Linked DNA regions of Oreochromis niloticus. The protein of the gene in region 3 purifies or fractionates together with the protein of the main gene of each other region. This does not show direct contact. Links are inferred from orthologs where the notes say so. Each region holds a gene or a part of one and is shown on either strand. Other genes may lie near its edges. The genes, in order: ap1s1, ap1m2 and ap1b1.

Region 1 (7,599 bases), on a different chromosome or scaffold from region 3:
CCCCATCTATACGAAAGCAGCTTCTCTTTCCGACAGACATTAATTTTGATGAAATACTCAAATACGTACAAATATGTAATTTTCCTTCCCACGGTTTCTTTCTTGGAGACAAAGCACTGCCACATCTCATCTTTTTTACATGTTTAATACTGCGTTACTAACATTCCTTTTTAAAATTTCTAAACAATAAAGGCTACTGCCTAAATGTATCACAAGTAAATGAACCTGAGAACCTGGCACTGGGATAAAGGCACTAGTGCATTTCTTTACAGTTTCTTGATAATTAGTGAAAAATCAACAGCAGTTCATAGCATGAAAGAAAATGAAACTGTAAATATGTACACTAGAAGCAACTGTCAGTAACATTAAAATGAGAAAAGATGAAAATAGTGTAAAGAAAGTACCACAAGAAGCAGGTGATGCTGTGATGAGTACAAAATGCAGGACTGCCCATGGCACTTTTACCTTTTATAGACAATCTTGAGGTCGCGCCATTCTAGAAAACTGCACATCTTTGGTTTGCGGGCCAACACTATCTGCATCAGCTCCCTGACCATCTTCTTCTTGTCACGCTCAGCTGTGGCTGTGTACCACTTCTGCAGTCGCAGCTTGCCCTGCCGGCTGAACAGCAGCATGAAGCGCATCTACATGCAAAAAAGACAGTACAGCATTTATGAGAACATGTATTCAATGTGTAAGTATATGTCAATACATAAATGTGACAATTACAATTATTGGTCCAGTACAGGAACTTTTCCTGTTAACTGCATTCTTGTGACCAATTATGAGTCACTTCATCACAGTTTTTTATACTTTGCTCTTTTTGTAAACATTATTATCAAGTCTGACATCATTAATCATTTCTGTGATCAAATGCTCTTTCAATTCCCAAAAGCAAAGAAATACTGGGACGTCATTAAGAGTTAAATATGGTCAAAATTATTTCAGCTCCAATAAAATAATCAGTGCGCCTGCCCAAGTGTTCCAACATCATGACAAAGAGGATAAACAGGAGGGCCCTCCTATTAATAGAGGCAGATGCCATTATATGGTAGGAAGAAGACACCAAAAACAGATAATTTGGTTAGTTATCAACATCTTGCCATGTGGTCTGGATTACTTGCTTAGAAAAAGTTCTGGTTCAAAGTTTAATACACAGTGAAATCTTAGTCAGCCCAAGAGAATCAAATCCTTGGTGACCCATAAACCACAGTGTACACTGAGTTTTTAGAAAATTAAACCATGTCAACAGTGCACATCTTTTAGAGCACACGGCAGCTCGTGTCTGCTCAAATAACAAAGCAGCGCACCATGTTTGAAATCCAGCACAATAGATGCTTGGACTGAGATGTGCTGCATTCAAAAATCAAGTCTATGACATTTTGTGAGACTTTAACTTGTGGTAAACATTTCAGTAGACATATACTGCAAAAAAGAGAAGAGCATGCCAAATTGTTTTCTCAAATGACAATAAAAAAAAAACCTTTCTAATCTCCACTTGGTGTCTGATTGTTATCCCATATCTACTTGGTCCAAGGGAGTGTCACAATGGAACAAGTAGGGAGTTAAGCCAGCATTATAATCTAGCCTTTTTAAACGATATAATGTTAAAATGAACCAGTCAAACCAAACAAAGAAATAAAAACAACTTCAGGGCTTTCTATAATAGGCTATTTAAATTCCAGTTCACTTATCCCATGCCCTCCAAATCCCTCAGTTGATTAATGCAATTTCTCTCTGATACATCCCGAGTACACTACTGAAAAAACACAAACTGCCAGTTCAAAAGTAGTAGGTGAACAAAGTGGAGCACTCAGAAGTTGAAGAGTCAGTTACCTTTTTCAGGTGCTGGGAAGACTGAATTAGGACTAAAAGCAAAATTAATAATGAATTTGGTCACTAAAGACCTGCACTAGGACGACAATCTTTATATATTCTTTTTGAAAGTCTATAATAACATAATGGCCATGGCAAATTTACACTCCTGTTGTATATGGCGAGTGTTTCATCTCATCATCCTATGCTGTTTTCCCACGCCATACTGGCAAAGAAAAGGGAGGAAGTGACATCAAATGTCTATAATATTTTGGTTTGATATTACCTCCAGACATAAACGTCATGTATTGCATTTAAAGCACTTAAAGCAAACACTTCAATCACATAATGAAACCACAGATATAAACTTATGCTGTAATGTGTATTACAGGTATTTTAAAACTTTGCAGACATGGCAATACTAATCCAGCATATCACTTATTATGTTTACTTCCATCTGCCTGCTACCAGTCTACAGTCTATTTGGCAGGCATGACTGTGGGAGGTATGGTTTCATAAAAGATGAATGTTATTGTTTCATCAGTCTAGCCAGTAACAGATGTCACTGTAGCAGGTAATATTAAGATCACCAGTCATCTGGCTCAAGGTTTTGGCCATACAGAGTTCCAAAAACAATTGAGCTGAGGTTAAGCACAAAGTTAGCCACATAATGAAGCCTATTTCATTACTTTATGTAGGCTGGCAGAAAGTAACAAGCACGCCATCACCTTCGTTGCTGACGATAACTAAAACCTAAAGATAAACGAATTACCTGCAACGAGGGCAGTCACACTAGTTTGTCCCGTGTCTGTCATGCTAAAGTTTGACTAACATCACACAGACCACAAGCTGCACGAGAGCTATATACAGCGTAAGAAAGATGAAGTTTCACAGGTTATGCTGGCCTGTTAGCTTGCAAGGCTATGCTGACAGAAGCCAGGTGTAGTTAGCGCAGGTGGTGACTTCCTGGAATCATACACCTTGATAGCATTAGCGTAGCATACCCTCCACATACACTTTTCCCTGCAAGTGAGACGTAATAACTTACCATTCTGTGGGGGTTTTAACGTTTGTGTCTCGTTACAAACGGACTCTACTCCCTCGTTGCCCACTCAGACCTACACCCGAACTAATGCCGAAAGTTCATTCCCGTGTGAGGTGCTCAACTACTGCGCTTGCAAAAAGCGGAAACCCTTCCACGATCGTTGTTTCTGCCAAAGCGCTTCCACATCCGAGGAGCATGCGCACTCCGGCACGTCTAACATGACGTTTATGATTTCGTCTCACTTCCGGAGGGTTCGAATGATTTTACAGTGTATCGACTTTAGTGTTACATCCTCACTGTGTATGACTGCGGATACTGACTCCCTGGTATAGCTTTCAAGTACGGACCTTAAAGCGGATAACCCGTAAGTTAGAGGGGAAATGCCATGTCACCAATTTAGAAGATCTCCATGTTGCCTGGAAAAAAAAATCTGCTCAAAAAAAGAAGAAAAAAAAAAAAAAGAAAATCGGTAGGATTTTTCATCGTCATCATTCATTAAACACCGAAAAATCCCAGGTTTCTCTTCAGCACTGTCAGAGCTCTGCTGAGTCAAGCATTCCTTTAACTTTAACTTCATTAATTTTTTTTAAAAATGAAATTTTATCTATTGAAGAACAAATACTCACAACCATAGACATACTATTATTTTAAGCTACTTTAAATGTCATTTATATTTATTTATATCTGTCTGAAATAACTTTAGTAATGGCTTCCTCCAGGTCATCAACGTGTCCATTAGACCCCATTACCCATTCTTACCAACTGCTCAAACTATTACAATTAGTAAATGCTTTAATCTTGAATATGATCATCTATCTCTATTAATAGGCTATGTGCAATTAAGGTGGCAATAATTAAACTATTACTTAAAAAGCAGTCACTTGATCCAGCTGTCTTAGGTAATTATTGACCAATCTCTCAGTTGTCAAACAGCTGACAGATCATCTGCAGAGGAATGGTCTATTTAAAGAGTTTCAGTCAGGTTTCAGAGCTCATCCCAGCACAGAAACAGCTTTAGTGAAGGTTACAAATGGTCTTCTTATGGCCTCTGACAGTGGACTCATCTCTGTGCTTGTCCTGCTAGACCTCAGTCCATCGTTAATACTGACCACAGTATTTTATTACAGAGATTAGAGCATGCCATAGGTATTAAAGTACGGCACTGTAGGGGTTTGAATGATATCTGTCTGATAGACTCTGTTTTTTCTTTCATGTAAATGGAGAGAGTCCTCTTTACACACTAAGTTTAATTATCCAGTCTTTAAGTGATGACGAGATGAACCAAACTGGGTTCAAACTACTCTGTGTTTAATAAGGCTGTTGTGTTTTTAGTTTTAAAGTTTTTTTTAAAACTTTAATTTAAAGTTTTAATTTTTTCTGTTTTGTTCTATTTATTCTGAACGAGCCCCTAAAATGTCAGTGATCACTTTCAGCCTCTCTCAGTTTTTATTACCACTGTTCATTTTAAAGCTCAGTTTTTAAAACCTTATGATGTAACTACAGCCCAGCCCATGCAGCAGTATACACCCTGACCTTGTATAATGTGTGTGTAGGGACCAACACATACACTGCATTTAACCCATTCACCCAGTGAAGCAGTGGGCAGCCACCAATGCAGCACCCAGGGAGCAGTGTGTAGGGACCGTACCTTGCTCAGGAGTACCTCAGGGTAGCCGTTCAGTGGATTCAAACCCCCAACCTTCCGATCATGGGGCAATCACTCTACCTACTGAGCTATCTCTGCCCTATCCCTGAAGTTTGGTCCGTTTACAGCATCCTGCCATGCGATTGCATTTGTCCCTAACCATCGGGAACCCTCACGTTAACTTTTATCGAGTGGAAAAAAGTTTTATCCTCCAGCTTCACTGTGATAATATGTTTATATCATGCTAACCATAACTGTGTTTTAATTTTTTCAGAAATCTCTCAGTCAGAACATGATATATCATGTTTAGGTGGAAACTAGCGAGCTAACTTCCTGCTAACATCTAACTCCGTTAAACTTCATAAATTCTGTTTTCACAGATGCCTGGTACATTAATATGTATCATTGACAGAAGGTTTGGGTGTGTCTCCCAGCACACTCTCAAAGCATGAAGGAGATTTTAACAGAACCGCTCCTTTGTCACAGTAGGAGCAGAATGAACACTTTTTGGAGCCTTTGAATTCGGCCCTCTGTAGGTTGAAAATCTTCATTTCCGTTGAGATTACATATATATATATATATATATATATATATATATATATATATATATATATATATATATATGTATACATGGAAGTTAATACATGGTGTCACCACTTTTATTCTTCAACACAGTTTGAACTCTCTTAGGCAAGATTTGTGATTTCTTTAATTGCTCTTCAGGAATAATCTCTAAATTTCTCAAAAGACCTGTTGAAGCTCTGCTTTGGCTGTTTTTTGCCTGTTCTGTGTCAAGATAATCCCACACAGATTCAATAATGTTGAAGTGCAGGCTCTCAGTGTGTTCCACTGGGTGTTTATCTATGCTTTTTACTGCATTGGCGGTGTGTTTGGGATCATATGATGCTGAAAAATGAAGACCTCTTGCCTCATTTTCACTCCAGTTCTTGTGTAATGTTTCCCCTTCTTAAGAATGGCTTCCTGACAGGTTTTCTTTGCTTTGGTGAATCAGTGTCGGGACCCCACCCCACCCCTATATCTTGCTTTCAGATACTGTTTATCTACTGTAGATAGATACAGATTTTTTTTTAGACATGCTTTTGTCTTCCACTTGTCTAGTTTCCTCAGTCACTGCACACCATGCTTGGTATTTCAAGTTTTCAGCTAATACCTATTTTGCACCTTAATGGTACAAAAATGCTGTTTCATGCCAAACTTATGTTTGGCAGGTTTAACTAAAGAAATGGGAACATAACATGTCTGTTATGTGTAGACACAATACTGATTTGTTAGATGCCTTTTGATGCTTGAATCAGGGGGAAAGCAGAAAAAGTCAGTGTTAACCTTTCAAAGAACTGTTCAAAGACTGCAACATTGTAAAAAATATAGTAGTTTAATAAATATAAGCATAGTGACAGAAATAAAAATGTAAGAACAAAACAACCAAAAAATATGAAATATAATTTTTTAACAGTAATATAAAATAGTAATATTAAAATATAACTCTTTATAAATACTAATGCATCAGCGTCCCTCCCTTTCAATTAAATCACTATCTTTTGTATCAGAAACAGGTGAAATACCTCATATGTTCACTTTCCTTTATATCGCATTATGTTTTATCAGCCAGAAACATTCAGAGAAATAAATAATCTATAAAGAAATATTTTTTTAAACAAAATCTCTTTCAATACTGTTCTAAATAAACTTTCCAGTGATTTAGTTTGCAGTTTCAAATATGTCATCTGATTTAAGTAGTATATGTCAGATATGTCATCCATTCGATGGCCATTATGTGGAATTTTAGTAGTCTCACGCAGAGAGTGGGCTCAGAGTGGGTTACTGTTGAGGCTGGTTGAAGTGACCCATGAAAAGAACAGCACCTAAACATAAAAGGGAGAACATTAGAGAGCCACCCTACCTGGATGATCAGCAGTCTGGTATTGTAAAATTGTATTCTAGTGAAAGGTTACCTGTGAGTTTGTGCTGGATAAGGAAAAGGAAAGGTCGGTCTAGAACGATCTCCTCTACTGCCATACGAGAAAACATGACAGCAGCTAAGAACAATGAAACAGAAAGGGGGGGAAAGGTCAGTGTTGGGTTTATGTGGGGACCCCATTTGGACCCCTTACATTATCTTCAAATAGTTCTCCTGATACATTTTTTTGTTGAAAAGTATTTGTTACAATTTGATTAATCACAAAATATGATTAAAATATTTTCTCTGCATCTATAAATCAATAAGACCTCTGCTTATGTTGCCTATTTTCAATATCCCCTTTTAGCTTACATCATATTATGTTTAATACTTAGACAAAATTTAAAAAAAAAAAAAATCAATTGTATCGCCTGTGCCACAAATAAATATATATAGAACTGAAAAATGAGGGTACCTGTTGATGCTGCTCCTTTGGTTCCCTCTTCATTCACCTCAATTTTCAGTTTTTGCAGGACCTTTGACACACACAGCCTTTGATCCACTAGAGGGAAAAACACAAAAAAACAAATGAATAAATTAAGAATAAAAAATTAGATAAAAATATGTTTGTTTGTTTTCATTATGTAGTTTTTTTTAAAACCTTCATTTTTTTTATCTGCTTATTTATAATCCGTCATTAAGGCTTAAAATGCTTCAATTTGAAATATGGACCGTCTTTATTGACAGGTGACCACAGGCTTTTAAGGTGGTTTTAATTAAACCATTACTTTAAAAGGATTTTATTTCTTCATATGTATATATATATATATATATATATATATATATATATATGTATATATATGTATATATATATATATATATATATATATATATATATATATATGTATATATATATATGAACCAGTCTTTCAGAGATGATCACTCAGTTTTTTTTTTATAACTGCTCTTTCAAGATATATGTATATATATCTTGAAAGAGCAGTTATAAAAAAATACTGAGTGATCATCTCTGAAAGACTGGTTTATTTAAAAAGCTTTAGTCAGGATTAAGAGTGCATCATAGCACAAAAACAGCTTTAGTGACGGTCATGAGCTATCTTCTCACAGACTCTGACAGTGGACCTCATTAAAACACCACTGGTGTTAAACAGTTCA
Region 2 (8,038 bases), on a different chromosome or scaffold from region 3:
GGTCGTCTTGACCATGTCTACATGTCTAAATGCATTGAGTTGATGCCATTATGACAACAGCAGTTGAAAAAAGTGGCTGGTGAGTATAATTCCCAAATACATATTAAAACTTAATACAAAGGCAAAGTTTATGAGAGTAATGAATCAAACAAACAAACAAATAACAATAAAAATAAACAATTTTTTGGGAAAACGGTATCATTGTGCTCTGAAAGCTTTACTCTAAGGTATGCTGAGTGAAAGAGAGTAACAGTCATCCTAACCCATATGTGGTATACTTCTGTATTCTGTGCAATAAACAAAAAAGGTCTTTCTATAAAAGCTAAAAGGTAACATCATGATAGGACAGAAGGAAGTTAAGTGAGTTTTCCTCATAAGACTCAGCTGATTTTAACAGAGAAGTAATAACATGAATAAAACTAAGTCATAAAGGTTTAATTTTATGAACTGTGCATGCGGCACAAGTATTACTCATGTGATGGTTACCTACATTACTATCTATCTGTTTGCATATTAGAGGGACATGTCTCCTTGCAAGGACAAGAAGCAAGCCGTAAAACATAAATAACATAAATAATTATTGGACTTATTTTAGGATTGTGTTTATGACTTGGCATGTCATAAAAAAAGCTAAGGAGCTAAAGCGTGATTTGACGTCACGTTTGGGCCCTGCTCGTACAATGGTATATGCTGCATCATCGTCACGTTGCCTCACTGGAAAGCTGTGGTATGTTGTCTGTCAAGAACTGGGATCCACAATCCACCTGAAAATGTCCACACCCAACAGTCTTGCATCTGCTCTAGGCCAAATGTCGACTCTATATTTGCACAATTGCTTTTCTGTCAGCTTGTGGTTGCAGTTTTGAGTCAAACGATTTGGCCTGGTTGCACGTACAGTAAAACAGCATATCCAGAAAGCTAAACCTTATTTTTCCATCGTCACCAGCATCATTGTTGACAGTCGGATAGTTTGCTTGAGAACCATTGTTTGTACACCCACGAGACAATAGATACCCTTAGGGCTCAGGTGACTGGTGACACCTGTTCCCTGCTGTGCTGGCTGTCATCTGCATCTTCTAATCGCCTCACAATTTACATATGTTTGTTGTCCTCCGATTGGCCTAGTGGGAAAAAAAAAGGTGGAGCTCAATCTCACACCACTGATTCGTAAGCAAAGGGGGAGTGTTTACGAAAACCGGCAGTGGGAGGAGATGGGTGACAGATGGAGAACAGATATTCCCCTGTCAGGTTACCAAACAGAGTACCAAATGTCCCGATGGCAAGGTAACAGCAATAACCTGTTTTGCTTTTGTTTGACAACGCAGAGGCCAAACGGGTTGCCCATCTCTCGGCTGATACGTGTGCTGTAAAATGAAAAGCTGTTTGTTTTAACACACTGTAAAATGAGGGGGCTCCATTGAATGAGGAGAAAAGTGTAAAGTCAGGTACATCTCTGCTGGACAGTCGACATCCGGTCCAAAGCTAGCACTCACAGCCTTTATTTTCACTGATATTAGTTTCACCCTGAGCCACCATGCTGAGTTCAACCGCCCTGATCCCAGCAGCCTCCGTTTGCTTTCGCATAGAGCTGACAGTCAAAGTTTTGGTGTTTCCCATAGAATCATGATATTGTATTACACTTTATCTCACACATCCAAGCTCACTAATGTTTCTAGCACCTGTGGAGAGATAAGGATACAAATCTCGAGTCATTATAAGTAAAAAATTAACTCTTATGCTTAGCTAATGCCTAAATATGGTGAATTATAGTCAAACAGTGAGTTTCATCAGTAAGAATGCACATTGCTGTGCTGTATATTTACCATGTTCAGGTGAGTTTTAAGGCTATTTTGCATAGTACAAAATACCACCCTACTGTATCAGGAGATATCATGGGAGCATCATGTAAAATAGCAGTTAAAAAAATAGTTCATTAATATTAATCACAATGATTAAGTGGTTTAATTTGAGTGGTATTTTGCTGAAATTTCTTACATTTGCTCCTGATTTTAAGTCACATTAAGACAGATATGATCAGAGTACTGAAGATCATTCAAACCTTTTCTATTTTATATATAAATGAATGTATTTAAAATAATTGTGACTTCATATAAAGGCAACAGATATATTTCCAGTGTCATAGTAAGACACTTTAGATCCTTCATCTTTCAAGGTTGCCCCCCCCCCAAAATGTACCAACTGTTAGAACTGACGATGATCATTTTCTGCTGATGGCACTGTGGAAAACTCTGCACGGCAAATAATATTAATAACGTTAGGGCATTGTGAGTGATTGTTTTGCCAACAAAATGCAGAAAAGGTATGGGAAAAGAGAAGAAAATATATATATTCTATCCAAATAAAATAAAACCATTTTTAAGTTTTAATTATTTATTTATTTGTTTTTTAATTTTGTACTCAGATAAAAAGCTGGGATCTAAGATTAATATCCACTTTGGCTACAACATAGCAAATAATAGTTAATGCTCCACTGAATTTGAGATTCTGCTGAACATTTCAGGTCAAAACCAATCCTCAGTCATGCTCGCTTTCTTAAGCTGACATGGATACAATTTCCAGTGGATGCAGATTAAAACATCTGAAGTATTTTGATACAATTAGGAGTGGGCAAACTGTTGTTTTGCTGGCAGTTAAGTGTGTAAGCAGCAGGAAATTATTTTTCTTCTCGTCTGACTAATGCTTCCCTATGCTTGCAGCCGTTTCTGTTCTGCCATTGTCATTTCTGTATAGTTCAGATAACATCAACTAATGACGGAGAGCCAAACACGTACTCTATTTTGCACACTGCTAAATGTTGAAGGAAAATACAATTTTAAAAGACGCTGGTATCTAAAACTACAAACATTTCTAGACCTCGAATTTAAAAAAGCTGCACAATGCTAAGAAACTGTAGCGGTGCACGATTTTAATTAAAATGCATGATATAAAATGACTAATATCGTGGCGCACCAGCCTATTCTGAGTCAGTTCTACTGTAGCCTATATCCTGTGTGAATGCAACATGCCTAAGGTGTGCCTTTTTTTTATAGCTAAGATAAAGTAATTTATCATTAGAAAAAATAGTGACGAGATAAGGGGAACCAACCCTATATTGTCAAAAGGAGTGGGATACTGGAAACGGCTGATCTCCATCTGGTGTCTTGATGCAAATGTTCACACGCGCATGTTATTCTAAGGCAAGCCTCTTTACACACAGATGATAAGTGGAGGCTGAGATCTGAGGCATAATACCACACGGAGAGGCCGAGCTCCCGAAGCACGTGAGCAGAAAAATGTTTGTATAGCCCTGAAGCTAAAGACAGCATGCCACACTCGCAGATCAAGGTAGAACAGGATTTAATCTTCGGGGGATTAATAACACCCAATGTGTCATTTAAGAGAAGAAACAAGTTGAAGAAATGTCATATTATAAATGTCAATAGTGAATACAGAAATATCAAGGTTAAACAATGAAAGAATTACTGCAAACAAATCAAAGAAGAATAATCTTTTAAAAAGCAACAAGCGTAAACCGAGGTCACCACGTGTCTCAGATATGTTTACATTGGATTTCTGTCTTCATGGGGTTCTTAATAGGGCTCATAAATGTGTGCAATACCTGTGATTCCAAGTATAAGTGCATGTACTACACTAAAAGTAGAGCCAAGGTTTGCTGAAGAATATTTCATCTGATAGTGGGTGAAAAATGGATTTATGGAGGAATCCAGAAAAGATTTCAACATTGGTAGGACAAACAAACTCTAGGCAGAAAGTCCAAGCAGGGTCGAAACAGGTGACAGCGCCAAGCAGCACTGCACCACCAATAAGCTAATAACCACCTAAGTAAAATTTGTAAAAATTTGTATTTACATGTAATATTTAGAGACATGGATAGATGTTTTGCATGACTTTTGAATTTTGTGTCTAATAATTGATCTGTATACTTCTTTTTAATTTTATTTTTGGTCTTCTGTTTGAATTTTTCAACTTTCAAAGTACTTTTATTAATATTATCATTACGAGAAGAAATGGTAAATGGCCTGTATTTGTATAGCGCTTTACTAGTCCCTAAGGACCCCAAAGTGCTTTACACATCCAGTCATCCACCCATTCACACATCGGTGACGGCAAGCTACATTGCAGCCACAGCCACCCTGGGGTGCACTGACAGAGGCGAGGCTGCCGGACACTGGCGCCACCGGGCCCTCTGACCACCACCAGTAGGCAGTGGGTGAAGTGTCTTGCCCAAGGACACAACGACCGAGACACATCGAACCGGCAACCTTCCGATTACAAGACGAACTGCCAACTCTTGAGCCACGATTGCCCCTAGAAGAAGAAGAAGAAGAAGTATAATGAGTTCAGTCTTTATTCTTTCTTTAATCTTTATTCAGATTCCCCTGAGTTGTTACCGCAGCGATAACTATGCTTCCTAGGGTCCACAGATAAAAACAACACAAAACATCCAACCATCGATCTACAGACAATCAACCAATAACTTAAAAATCACAATTACATCAATAAAATAAAATAACAAGTATTTCCTTTAACATATACAACAGTCACACAACAACAAGAAAATATATTACAGATGCTTAAAATAAGAAAATGTTACTTGCGACTTAAGATTTAAGCTAACATCATACCTACCCACAATCTTCACAGGTGAATAATCAGGTGTGCTTAAGAAGTGCTGCTTTTACTGCTTCTGAAAACCCAATTCCAGTTATAAACGATATAAGTTTATGGCATTACTTTTTAACTGGTAATATGAAGCAGTATTTGGAGGGGCTGGTAGGATGGACTCTTATTTGGAAGAAGAAGACCAACACTGAAAAACCTCTCGATCAACAAAGGTCACGAGGTCACACACTTGTCGCGGTCCCTGCTATGATTTGTCGGTTTGTGGCGCACTCTGGCGGCTAAAGCGGGGAGCACACCCTTCCTGCACTTCATTTACTCAGGTGAGCTAGTTAATGTTTCACCTGCGTGCAGTGACGTCACTGGACCTTCAGGAAAAAGACACCGTGGAGTCCGCGATCAGCCCGACCGGAACGGTTCCTGACATTTTCAGGACAAAGCTGCTGCAATAAGTCTTGAGTTAGGCTTTAAACTCAGTTTCGGCGCTTCGTGAAATCTCACGCTGTTGGTCCCCCGGGTTCAGACACGATGTCCGCCTCCGCTATCTTTGTGCTGGATCTGAAGGGGAAGGTAAGAGCAAAGCTCGAGCTAATTTTAGACAACTGATAATTACTTATTCCTGTGCGCGTGGCAGGAATAAGTAATCGGTTTTGGTTACTGGGTTGAATTTTTTGGTGCTCTTTTAACTGTTAAACATTAAACGCGTTGTTAAAAATTAATAACAGATCTTGCGACACACTCTTTCTTGTATTTCTTATTTTATTTAACTTTTAGTTTTCTACTTCCGGATACATGGCAATGTAAATTAAGCTTTAAACAATGGAAGCGAACGCGTGTGGCAGCACATGTAGCCTTCAGGTAGATAGTTTGTGTCACCGTCACGTTTATGTTTACACAGGAGCCTGCATGACTCTGGCATGACAGACAGAACATGTAACTTTAGCCTCGAGTTAGTGTTTCTCGTGGTTTCATGTTGTGTGTGTGATCTGTTACATTTTATCTACTCGAACCCAAGCTCAATCCATACATTTTGTTTTACCAGCAAGTTTCAAGGTTGGTTGGTTTTGCATGTGTCGTTTCCAAGGCCAGTCAACACTGAGATGGAGAGGGGGTGTACCGAATATAGATCTGTTTTTGGAGGGGTCTGGATTCTGATTGGTTAAACAAATCATCATCAAAAACTTATATTTACACTTTTATTCCCTTACACCTAAGGTTCCATCACCAAATAATAATATGTCCTTCTCATGCATGACCTGGGTGAATTAGAATGTTGTTATACATGTCATGACACAATCAGTCCCATCAACAACTAAAAGAAAAATATTTATGGATCCTAACTTTATACTGAGCTATCAAAAAGACTATTCTCTTTGAGCTTTCCACTTTTTAATACTTTTAAAATGAAGGGGCAAAAAAAAGGATGATTATTTCCATTCAGAGTAGATTAGCAACCACTTCAGAATTAGAATCAGAATACTTTACATAATTTCCTTAGAGAGTATTAAAGGACAAAGAAATAAGTAAGAAAAAAAGTTAGAGTAAAGAGAAAAAGCAGGAGCAACTGAAACCGGCTGCATGCTGGTGGACACATGTGCACAAGGTTTTCTCTTCCACTTCTACAGGGATGTGAAAACAGCATAGAAATTTAGTCTACTTTATAGCTAGAACTCATAATAATAATAATATTAGTCACATTGTAACTAATCATTGTAATTATTGTCTCCGCATCTGTGGTAAAGTTTTGTCATATTGGTGATTAAAAGCTTTAATTTTCTGCTATTATTTTACTTATGACTGGTATTTTCTTATATTTAGTGGTTTTGTCTTTTGAAATTGCCGTTTGCCAGTTTGATTTTATTTATCTCATAATCTGATCATTAAAATTTCTTTTCCTGTCTGATCAGTTAAGGGAAGACAGTTAAGCTGTCAGGGTTCAAAATTTTCGATAATATGCTTTTCCCCAGGTGATTACTTCCATTAAGAAACATTTTTCCGGCTGCTTCCTTTGGAGTCTGCCACAGTGGATCATCTGCCTTTATCTCACCCTATCCAGTAGCATCCTCATCTGTCACACCAACCCTCACCATGTCTCCTTTTGCTACATCCATGAACCTCCTCTATGGTCTTCTTTCTGTCTGACAGCTGCATATTCAACATCCTTTGCCCTCCTCTTTGCACATGTCCAAACCATCTCAGCCTCACCTCTCTGACTTTGCTTCCAAAGTGCTCAGCTTGTCCTGTCCCTCTGATGTGCACATTTCTAATCCTGCCCAACTTGGTGGTTTGTGTATTTTAACGTGTATTAAATGTACATAACAGGAATGTGAACGCTGAGTAAGGCCATGTTCCAATTTCTTGTTTACTTTTATTCACACATCAGAATTTATAGGTTTAAATGTGTAAATGAAGCCACGTTTAATTAAAGAAAATTAATTTGTGTAGATAAAGGCTTGGGTTTTTTTTAAGGATATTTTAGTGTTTTAACAGATAACACGTTTGTATAAGAAATATTATGAATAAAAGACCCAGAACCTTAAAAAAAGGTTGATGTCTGAGTCTTGTCTTAATCTCTGTGACAAATTTTTATCATTTTGTCCCACTGTTAGGGACAAAATGATAATTTGAGAAGAGTATTTCTTAAAAATAAAGACAATTTTAATATTTTTCCTCATCAGTGTTGTTTAAAATCAGTGAGCGTAGTTCTTTCTACTGAGAATCACAAGATCAGTTGTTATTATTGTGATTATATCCAATCATTCTCCTAATTGCTTTTCCAGTTGAGGGTCTGTGTGAAACTGCTATTGTAATATCCATTGCCTTCCCATCATTGAACAAAATGACACTAGAAGTCATTCTATAAGTAGTAATTTCTATATTAACAGTTGTCTCGTAACCACGTGCTGGTATTCTTCCTTCTTCAGGTGCTGATTTGTCGGAACTACAAAGGCGATGTGGACATGTCAGAGATTGACCACTTCATGCATTTGCTCATGCAGCATGAAGAGGAAGGTCTTCTCTGTCCCGTAATGTCACACGGCAACGTTCACTTCATGTGGATCAAACACAGCAACCTCTACCGTATCCCTGTCCTGAGTGTTTAATGACATCCTTTGCAGGCAATGACCATTAGCAATCATATGAAAAGATGAGTCCTTGATTTTTACAGCAGTGTTTTTAACTTCAGAACATTCCTTGACCTGATCTCTATACAGTTGTGGCTACAACAAACAAGAACTCCAACGCTTCCCTGGTGTATGCATTTCTTTACAAACTAGTCGAGGTGAGCGATGCCTAGTGTGGTGAATAATATAAATATTTCCTGTTGCCTGTGCATCCTGTTTCCAAAGAAACGGTTTTGTTGTTGTGGGACATCAGTGAAACATGACAGTCAAAG
Region 3 (7,528 bases):
CATTGAGCTTATTTCAGACATGTGCAGAGATGAGGAAACGCAGGACTTTGTGTAAACACAAAGCCAGTAAAGAACACAGTGTTATTAAAGCAGAGTGTATACAGTGTGTGTCAAATATAACCACAAAAGGAGTGTGTTTGCCCATTTGTGTTGAATTGTACACAGAATATTTTTATTTTTTTAATTTGAGAATCTTTGAGAATCACGTTTAATTTAGTTTTTATTGCAGTCTAACTCAGCTGCCTAATTAGGGTACAAACTACACACTGCAAGCAAACTGCAAATTATAAGCTTAAATTTGAATCTGCAGACTTAAGTATTTCCCAGGCAAATTAATACTCAAAGTCTCTTTTGCATGTGAGCTCCACACTGCACAACACAGCATTAGGCAGATCCACAGGGGGGAACATTTTGAAGGAAACTTGTTCTTATGTCTCAGGTAATCCTTAAAAACCAAGGAGTCTGGTACACTATCATTTACAAGCATCTGTTTATATTTCTTAAGCCCTGTGTGTGAGAACAAAGAGGGCTTCTAGGCTTTCCCAGGGCAACATTGTGTGAGGGGAGCTGCTGAAATACAAGGAGGCCTAGCAGTTATCTCACTGAGAGCTAATTCTCACTACGTCTTATCTGATATACAAAAGCCAAAGCTCTTGTTCTTGGGAACAACTTTGATACAAAGCTGTCAGATGACATCTTTAGGTACATTTTTTTTGTTTTGTTTGTTTTTTCCTTACTTACATCTAACTTATAGTTCGGTAACATTGCTAGTTCTACCAGAATATGCATGCTCTTGAAACAAGTAAATGTGCTTGGCTTCATAGAGTTGAAGTTAGTAAATACATGCCAAATCATTTTACTGGGAATCTACAAAACTTTAGTTTTATCAGAGAGAAAAAAAAAAACATCTATTAATTACTTTAACAACCTGGGAAAAGGTTAGGTCCCCTTTGGTAAAAATAATAATTTGGCACAGCCCAGCTCACAATGACAATAAATCCCAAAGCACTCGCATAAATATAATGTGTAGGTACCAACAACAATAATTATAATCTCACACTAAGGAGTTTACCATGTTAAATCTTCTAAAGAACAAAGTTTCAAACCTTTCTTAGTAGTGGTGAAGTACTTGGAGTCCGTCATCTTGGATCCAAATTGTCGATTCTCCTGCAAACGAATGACAGGATGAGAAAGATGATAGCGAAATCTTTTCCTGACTGGAAACTTGGAGCATCACGAGAACAACAGGAAATACTAGAAATGCAAGCACAGGGAAATAAAAGGAATTCCTGTCTTCTCCTGAACAAATGGTAGGGATCTATCGGAAATCAAAACAATGGATTCTGTTAAGAAATCAGACACTAATATCTCCTCTTTAAAAAAAAATTATAATAATAATCTTGGTCAGCACGTATGGGGCCAACAATAACTCTTGTCAGCCAACATTCAATGTTTTCTTTTGGGTATCATTAGCTATACTTCCTCATCCCGTTGCCCTCAAGGCACCATTTCATTTTATTTTTATTTTTTTTAAGTTTAAGGTACAAAGATGCCTGCTTGACAGATTTCAGAGAAAACTGTAAAATATTAAAATACTATTGGAAAAATAAAACCTGTGTTTTTACATGAAATTTTGACATTTTTGGCTCATGGACAGCTGGTCGTTTTTAGGAGGTCTCCACAACAGATCATCTGCCTCCATCTCACCCAATCCCTAGTATCCTCCTGTCACACACTCCATCCATAAACCTTGTCTATAGTCTCCGTCTGTTCATCCTGCCTGGAAGCTTCATATTCAACATCCTTTTCCCAATGCATCCACATCACCTCAGCCTTCTAACTTTTGACTCCAAGCTGCTCGACCTGAGCTGTCCCTCTGATGTACTCTTTACTAATCTTATCCATCCTGGTCAATCTAAATGAAAAGCCACGTTTAATTCTGCCACCTTTAGCTTGGCCTCCTGCCTGTTTGTCAGTCCCACCATACACTCTTCCTGTAGTACTTCTGTCACTAATCAGCCCTGACATCTCAACTACACCCATTCCACCCTGCCTGCACCATCCTCTTCACCTTTCTTAAGCACTGGCCAATGTTTAGGTTGGCGTCAGGTATTTAAACTCAACCACCTACACCTAGTAGCTTCACTGGACAGCAGTGTATATGTTTAACATATATATGGCTTGTTCATACCAACATTATGTGGAATTTGTCTCTTTAAAGTCTTTCTGATATAGAAAAAAGTTAGTATTTCCTTGACTATGCACTGAATATCTATTATTACTGTGTTACAAATATGTAAAAATACTTCTGCAGTGAATAAACAAACCCATAAAGATTTCATTAATCGAACTTACATTCAGTTCAGTCAAATGGTAGAACACAGAAAGACAGAGAGAAATTTCCTTCACAATATTCCGCAAAATAACCCTTTAGTCTCTTTAAAATACGTCTACATTTATGAATGAATTCTGTTAGACTGACATGCTAACTTGTTATTAATGGTACTGAAATACACATTAACTAGAGCACCGGGTTTCAGGTACCAGTCGACATCCGACAAGTCGCTAACTAGCCACAAGTTAACCAAAACCGAACCCAACTGTCGACGTAGTTAGCAATACGTTAGCCGATTACGATCCGTTTGTACGATAAAGCACACTGCTACCGAGCTAAATTCACACCGAAACTCTCGTGTACTCTTACGTAGCTTCTGATCTTACAACATAAGTATTTAACAAAAGCTGTCGTTAACTTATACCGCTAGCTAAAACACAAAGTTGAGAAAATGTTCTCTAGCTGGCTAGCATTAGGCTAGAGCAGCATTAGCATAGCTGGCTCGAGTGTGTACGAAAGGAGGCACACTTAGTTGAGTAGTTAACCCAAAATGAGCTAAATTGCAGCCGATAGTTGCGCATTTAACAGTGCATTTCAATCCACTACTCACGCATAACTGATTTGCCCACTCCTGCATGTTTGCAGCAGTTAGAGTAGATGAATGAAGCTAATGCTAAAGGATAGCAGCCTGGTGCAGTGTGCCTGTCAGTGTCAGCTAGCGCCTGACCACTTCTCTGGCTAGCAAAGCTGAGACATGACCTTCTAAGTAGGGACTTAAGGAAGCCTTTGCCGGGATAGTTAAGCTCTTAATCTGTCGGTGTAATTAAGACCTTACTCAACGAATTAGCGTACCTTCTGGCGTTAAAATTAAACTCGCCATACAGTGAATTCAGCAAGCACAAATATCTTACCGTGACAAGCGTAGCAGTTACTGTGATGGCCTTCGTCCCCTCCTACTTGATTTACTTCCGTCTTTTAACAAAATAACAACAGGCAGGCAACGTCAGCTCTCATTCATACAGGGCTGGTCATAATGAGACAAAGAAATTCAGGAACTCTGTCAACGCTGTGCGCTTTTCTTTTCAGCTCCAATCCGGCTACTTAAATCTACATACAGAGTAGGTAACTAAATATTCACTTTCACTAAATAAATAATTCAGACAGTTATCGTAAGAGCAAAGGATGTGTAAATAAAGTGAGACCCAGTTTTGAGTTTATTAGGAAGCTGATAAAACACTACCTAAATACAATAAATAAAATCTATGGCCTAAACCCTTCAACTGATAATATTATGCCAGTGTTTTGTGTATCCGTTTATACTGTATTGAAATAGCAAGTGTTTATGTGCATAAATGAGGCGTTAAATGAGGATTACCAAATACTAATTTCTACAAAAAGATAGCACTTTGGTCCACTGTTGCATGACAGCAAAAAGGTCCTGCTGTCCAGTCATCTCTGAATGGTCTGCATTCTCTCCCTGGGTACTATAGTCTAAAGACTTGTCAAGTTAACTGGTGATTTTAAATTCTTGGTGTGAATGGTTATCTGTGCCTCTTGCCCTATGACAGCTGGGATGGGCTCTAGCTCCTAGGGCTCTAATTTCCAGACTGACTAAACACTGGAAGGTTTGCTATAACAAAAGTTTAATACAAAAACGTCACAAGTTTACAATATTTTTGAATCTATAATTATATAAGACTATGTAGGGATTAGCTGAATTATTTTATCCAAATAAATAGTAATAAAAATTGAACCTTCCAAGCACATTGTGAGGAGAAACAACTGCAGCATTTTAACTCCATTTTGAACTTCACAAAGCAAAATCTGCAGGACGCATTGCCATATTTAGTCGTGTCTTACTTATGCAACAAATTATTTATTATGTACAAAAATATAGTGAGTAACACTGTGCATGAAGAATAACAGAAGCACTTCTTTGCTTTTCTCTAACATGCGCTGTAGCACAGAAAATCCAGTCACTGCTGTGCCAAAAGCTACACATGAAAAAATGACCAGAGCATCATCGTAAGCTTCAGAGCAAAAGATTTATTACAAGAACAACTTGACAGCATTTTCAAATTCAGAAAAAAAAAGTGAAACATTGCAGTATTGCTATTTCATACACAAAAATTCCACAATGTCAAGCAATCTGTACATTTAACCAAAGTTTTAGTGAAAATGGCATCTGATCACAAACATTCGGATTTCGCTGATTGGGGATACGGAGGAATGAGCGTTTCATAAAATCCCGTGTAGGCAGAAAGAGCGGATTAGGACAATCAATCGTTTTAAGATTGTAGAAGTCATGGCTCAGTTAGCCTGTACATTTAAAACACCAAATACGTGTTCGAACAAGCCAAAACAAATGTAAAATGAAAAGAATTAAGAGTACATGTTATAATGTGTTTATACACGCTAAACTGCCCACTGGCTACATATTGCAATCAATGTCGCTTTAACAATACTGATACATCATGAATCATTTGTAGCAGTGAGGAGTCAGCGCATGATAAAATTACTGTATCTTTAAGAGATGGGACACATAAATAAGTTCACTTTGCCTTCAAATCACTCTCATTTTTAACTGACAACATTTCCACTGATTCTGTCTGTCGTCTCGAACTTGGGAAACAGATGTCACTTGAGCCCATGAAAGATGATTTCATAAATAAATAAATTAGACCAGCACTACTTCCCTCTTTACTTCAAATCTGTACATATTCCCATACAGTATGTACACAAAGATATACACACTCTCCTTTCCCAGGCCATGCTCTGTTGGTGTCCAGCAAAAACAATTTTATCAACATTTTCTTTTCCTTGCCTCCACATTGTGTGGGAAACAATCATTAAATATTAATATCAGTTTTTCCTTCGCTCAAATCCAGAAGCTCTTGAGATTCTATGGTTTCTGGAGCCCACTAAACAGTATACCGCTTTCCAACTTTACACCCTTCAACACATGCTAAATACCAAAAAGCTAGTAATGTAGGCTCTGTAGCTGGAGTCTGGCTTGTCATATTGATGACAATTGTGTGAGAGCTTCACAAAGTAGGCTCAGTATCCAGTTACAGCATCCATTATTCATGCACCCCTGCACACATGCAGACACTCGAGTTAAAGCCAGTCAGTCTTCATCTATCAAACCTTACCATGTCATACCAGACCATTATTGGCTCTAATCAGCACCAGGACATTTCAGTATCATATCAAAACAACATTTTCTACCACTGAATAAAACATTTCTCTCTTTTTTTGCCACTAGATGTCACCATAAATTGCGCCACATTATTGAAATCCATCTGTTAAATAGGCGATAAACAACCGAGGGAATTCAGAGGAAATACATCATATATATGGTTTTCATTATTTGCACATCCACCTCGGGTATAACTTATAAATGAAACTGGCTGGTAATGCTTTTTTTTTTCTCCTTCACATTCACACCCAAACTTTCTAATTATTATAAACAGTTAAAGATGGCAATGTAGTGTTACCTAACAGATTTTAGTGATGTTTAGCTAAAAACATTTAAAAAAAAAATGTAACCTGTGAAAAATTGTTTAAGGCAAAGGGAATTTTCAAGGCATTTTCAACACCAGTATTGCATAGCTAAGAACTGAATACAGTGAATATGTACATTAGACTGTATATTCCAAGCCTTGTCTTTACAAAATACCCACTCTCAGCATGTATTTACACATTCATTCTCCTTAGCATTTAATTCCAGAGTACAGTTTGGTCAGAGGAGGAACTCAATATTTAAAATGTCAGCGACAACTATATAAAGTAATATAACCTTCCCCCATGCTCCTCATATTTTTGTTGTACACTCAATGCATTTAAATTAAACTTTTTAAAATTTTACTGCATTAAACAAAATCTTAAAAACCGGTAAGACATTAAGCATTCAAACAAAAAGCATCTATCTTGTCTAGAACAGCTTATTATTATGAAAAGCTGACACTGTTAAATAATAACATGAAACAACTGTACAGAAACTGGTAGTGTGCATAATGTTCATAGAGCCAGAGATGGGTGTACCTTAGTCTATGTTACTGATTACTGTAATGTGAGTATAGTGAGTCATATATGAATACCACTAATGTGGACAGACTGAAAACATCACAGTCATCATGCCAGTATTTTCACTATAAGGCAAGCAGAAGTGCTATGGCAAACCACAAGAGGGAGCCAGTCTGCATGACTCAAGGACTAGTGTTTACATCGTTTCTAGACTTGCAGCTTTAAAGCCCTGGCACTTTACCATGCCCCCTTAGTGAGGCACATGGCAGCACATATGCTCTCTCTTTCTATTTCTGTGTATCAACTGTGAGAATTTCACTAGTGACTTATAAAAAAAATAAAAGATTGGCAAAAGCATCCCCATGCACACATTAAAATTAAAAATTACAGTAACATAAAGACCATTCCTTTGGTAATAAATAATTTGGCTTGAGTGCAAAAAAAGCAATGTGAAGCCCTGCAGTTATTCAGGGGAGAACCTAAATGGAGAAAAAAAGGAGCGTTTGACATGCAGTAAAAACTGTCTGTAGCCCGTTTTTATCTTGTTGGGTTTTTTGTTTTCTCTTTTTTAAACACAGTAGTTAAAGTTCATGACAACAACCCCCTCCCGTGTACTACCCACAGTTTCGTTTTGTGCTACATCCAAGCTTCAGTGTCCACGCTGCCTGACTGTGTAGGGTAGGCGCAGTCTTTGTTGCCCATGGCTGAGGAACGAGGATGAGGATGGATCATATCAGCGAAGGCCTGGTGCAGGCCCTTGCATGTGGCTTGGCGACTGGTAGGATGGGAGCTCTGAGGAGACAGCGGTGGGGTGTGGCAGGGGGACAGAGTGTTGTTCGCCTGCAGGTCTCTGTAGCTGACGGGGGTGGGTATGCGCGAGGGGCCGTTTTCGGGCCTGTTGTCAGTGCGAGGCCTGAACCGGCCCCCCAGTTTGTGCTTAGGGATTGGGTCAAGCCTGTTTGCTCTCTTTGGCCCTTTCTTAGTCTCCAGCATTTCTCCATCAGCGTCCCCGTTAGTCAAGGGCAAATTTGGTGGAGGGGACTCTGAGCGGGATTCGCTCAAGCTGAAGCACATGGAAGAGTTTTCACTTGAGGAATCCTGGAAGGAGCAGTCCTCAGAGAGGGGAAGGGGCAGAGATGATGGACAATCCTCAGGGCCTGGGAGGTC

Evidence for each region.
Region 1: the proteins of ap1b1 (region 3) and ap1s1 fractionate together in Homo sapiens (co-fractionation; 6 studies listed by BioGRID and IntAct, with this or other methods). This does not show direct contact. The link is inferred for Oreochromis niloticus from reciprocal best matches to the Homo sapiens genes AP1B1 and AP1S1.
Region 2: the proteins of ap1b1 (region 3) and ap1m2 purify together in Homo sapiens (affinity purification with mass spectrometry; 3 studies listed by BioGRID and IntAct, counting the BioPlex papers as one, with this or other methods). This does not show direct contact. The link is inferred for Oreochromis niloticus from reciprocal best matches to the Homo sapiens genes AP1B1 and AP1M2.

The regions. Positions count from the first base shown.
Region 1 is NC_031967.2:1,997,029-2,004,627, reverse strand, and holds the start of ap1s1 (AP-1 complex subunit sigma-1A), read right to left. Parts: upstream 3,069-7,599; 5' UTR 2,867-3,068; coding exon 2,864-2,866; intron 645-2,863; coding exon 466-644; intron 1-465. Other genes in the region: serpine1 (plasminogen activator inhibitor 1), read right to left, coding at 6,345-6,388, 6,479-6,562, 6,899-6,985. UniProt on the Homo sapiens protein: Subunit of clathrin-associated adaptor protein complex 1 that plays a role in protein sorting in the late-Golgi/trans-Golgi network (TGN) and/or endosomes.
Region 2 is NC_031971.2:24,606,254-24,614,291, forward strand, and holds the start of ap1m2 (AP-1 complex subunit mu-2), read left to right. Parts: upstream 1-4,977; 5' UTR 4,978-5,169; coding exon 5,170-5,211; intron 5,212-7,565; coding exon 7,566-7,722; intron 7,723-7,856; coding exon 7,857-7,924; intron 7,925-8,038. UniProt on the Homo sapiens protein: Subunit of clathrin-associated adaptor protein complex 1 that plays a role in protein sorting in the trans-Golgi network (TGN) and endosomes.
Region 3 is NC_031977.2:18,689,620-18,697,147, reverse strand, and holds the start of ap1b1 (AP-1 complex subunit beta-1), read right to left. Parts: upstream 3,074-7,528; 5' UTR 2,973-3,073; coding exon 2,946-2,972; intron 2,379-2,945; exon of another isoform or gene 2,356-2,378; intron 1,168-2,355; coding exon 1,107-1,167; intron 1-1,106. Other genes in the region: gas2l1 (GAS2-like protein 1), read right to left, coding at 6,998-7,528. UniProt on the Homo sapiens protein: Subunit of clathrin-associated adaptor protein complex 1 that plays a role in protein sorting in the late-Golgi/trans-Golgi network (TGN) and/or endosomes.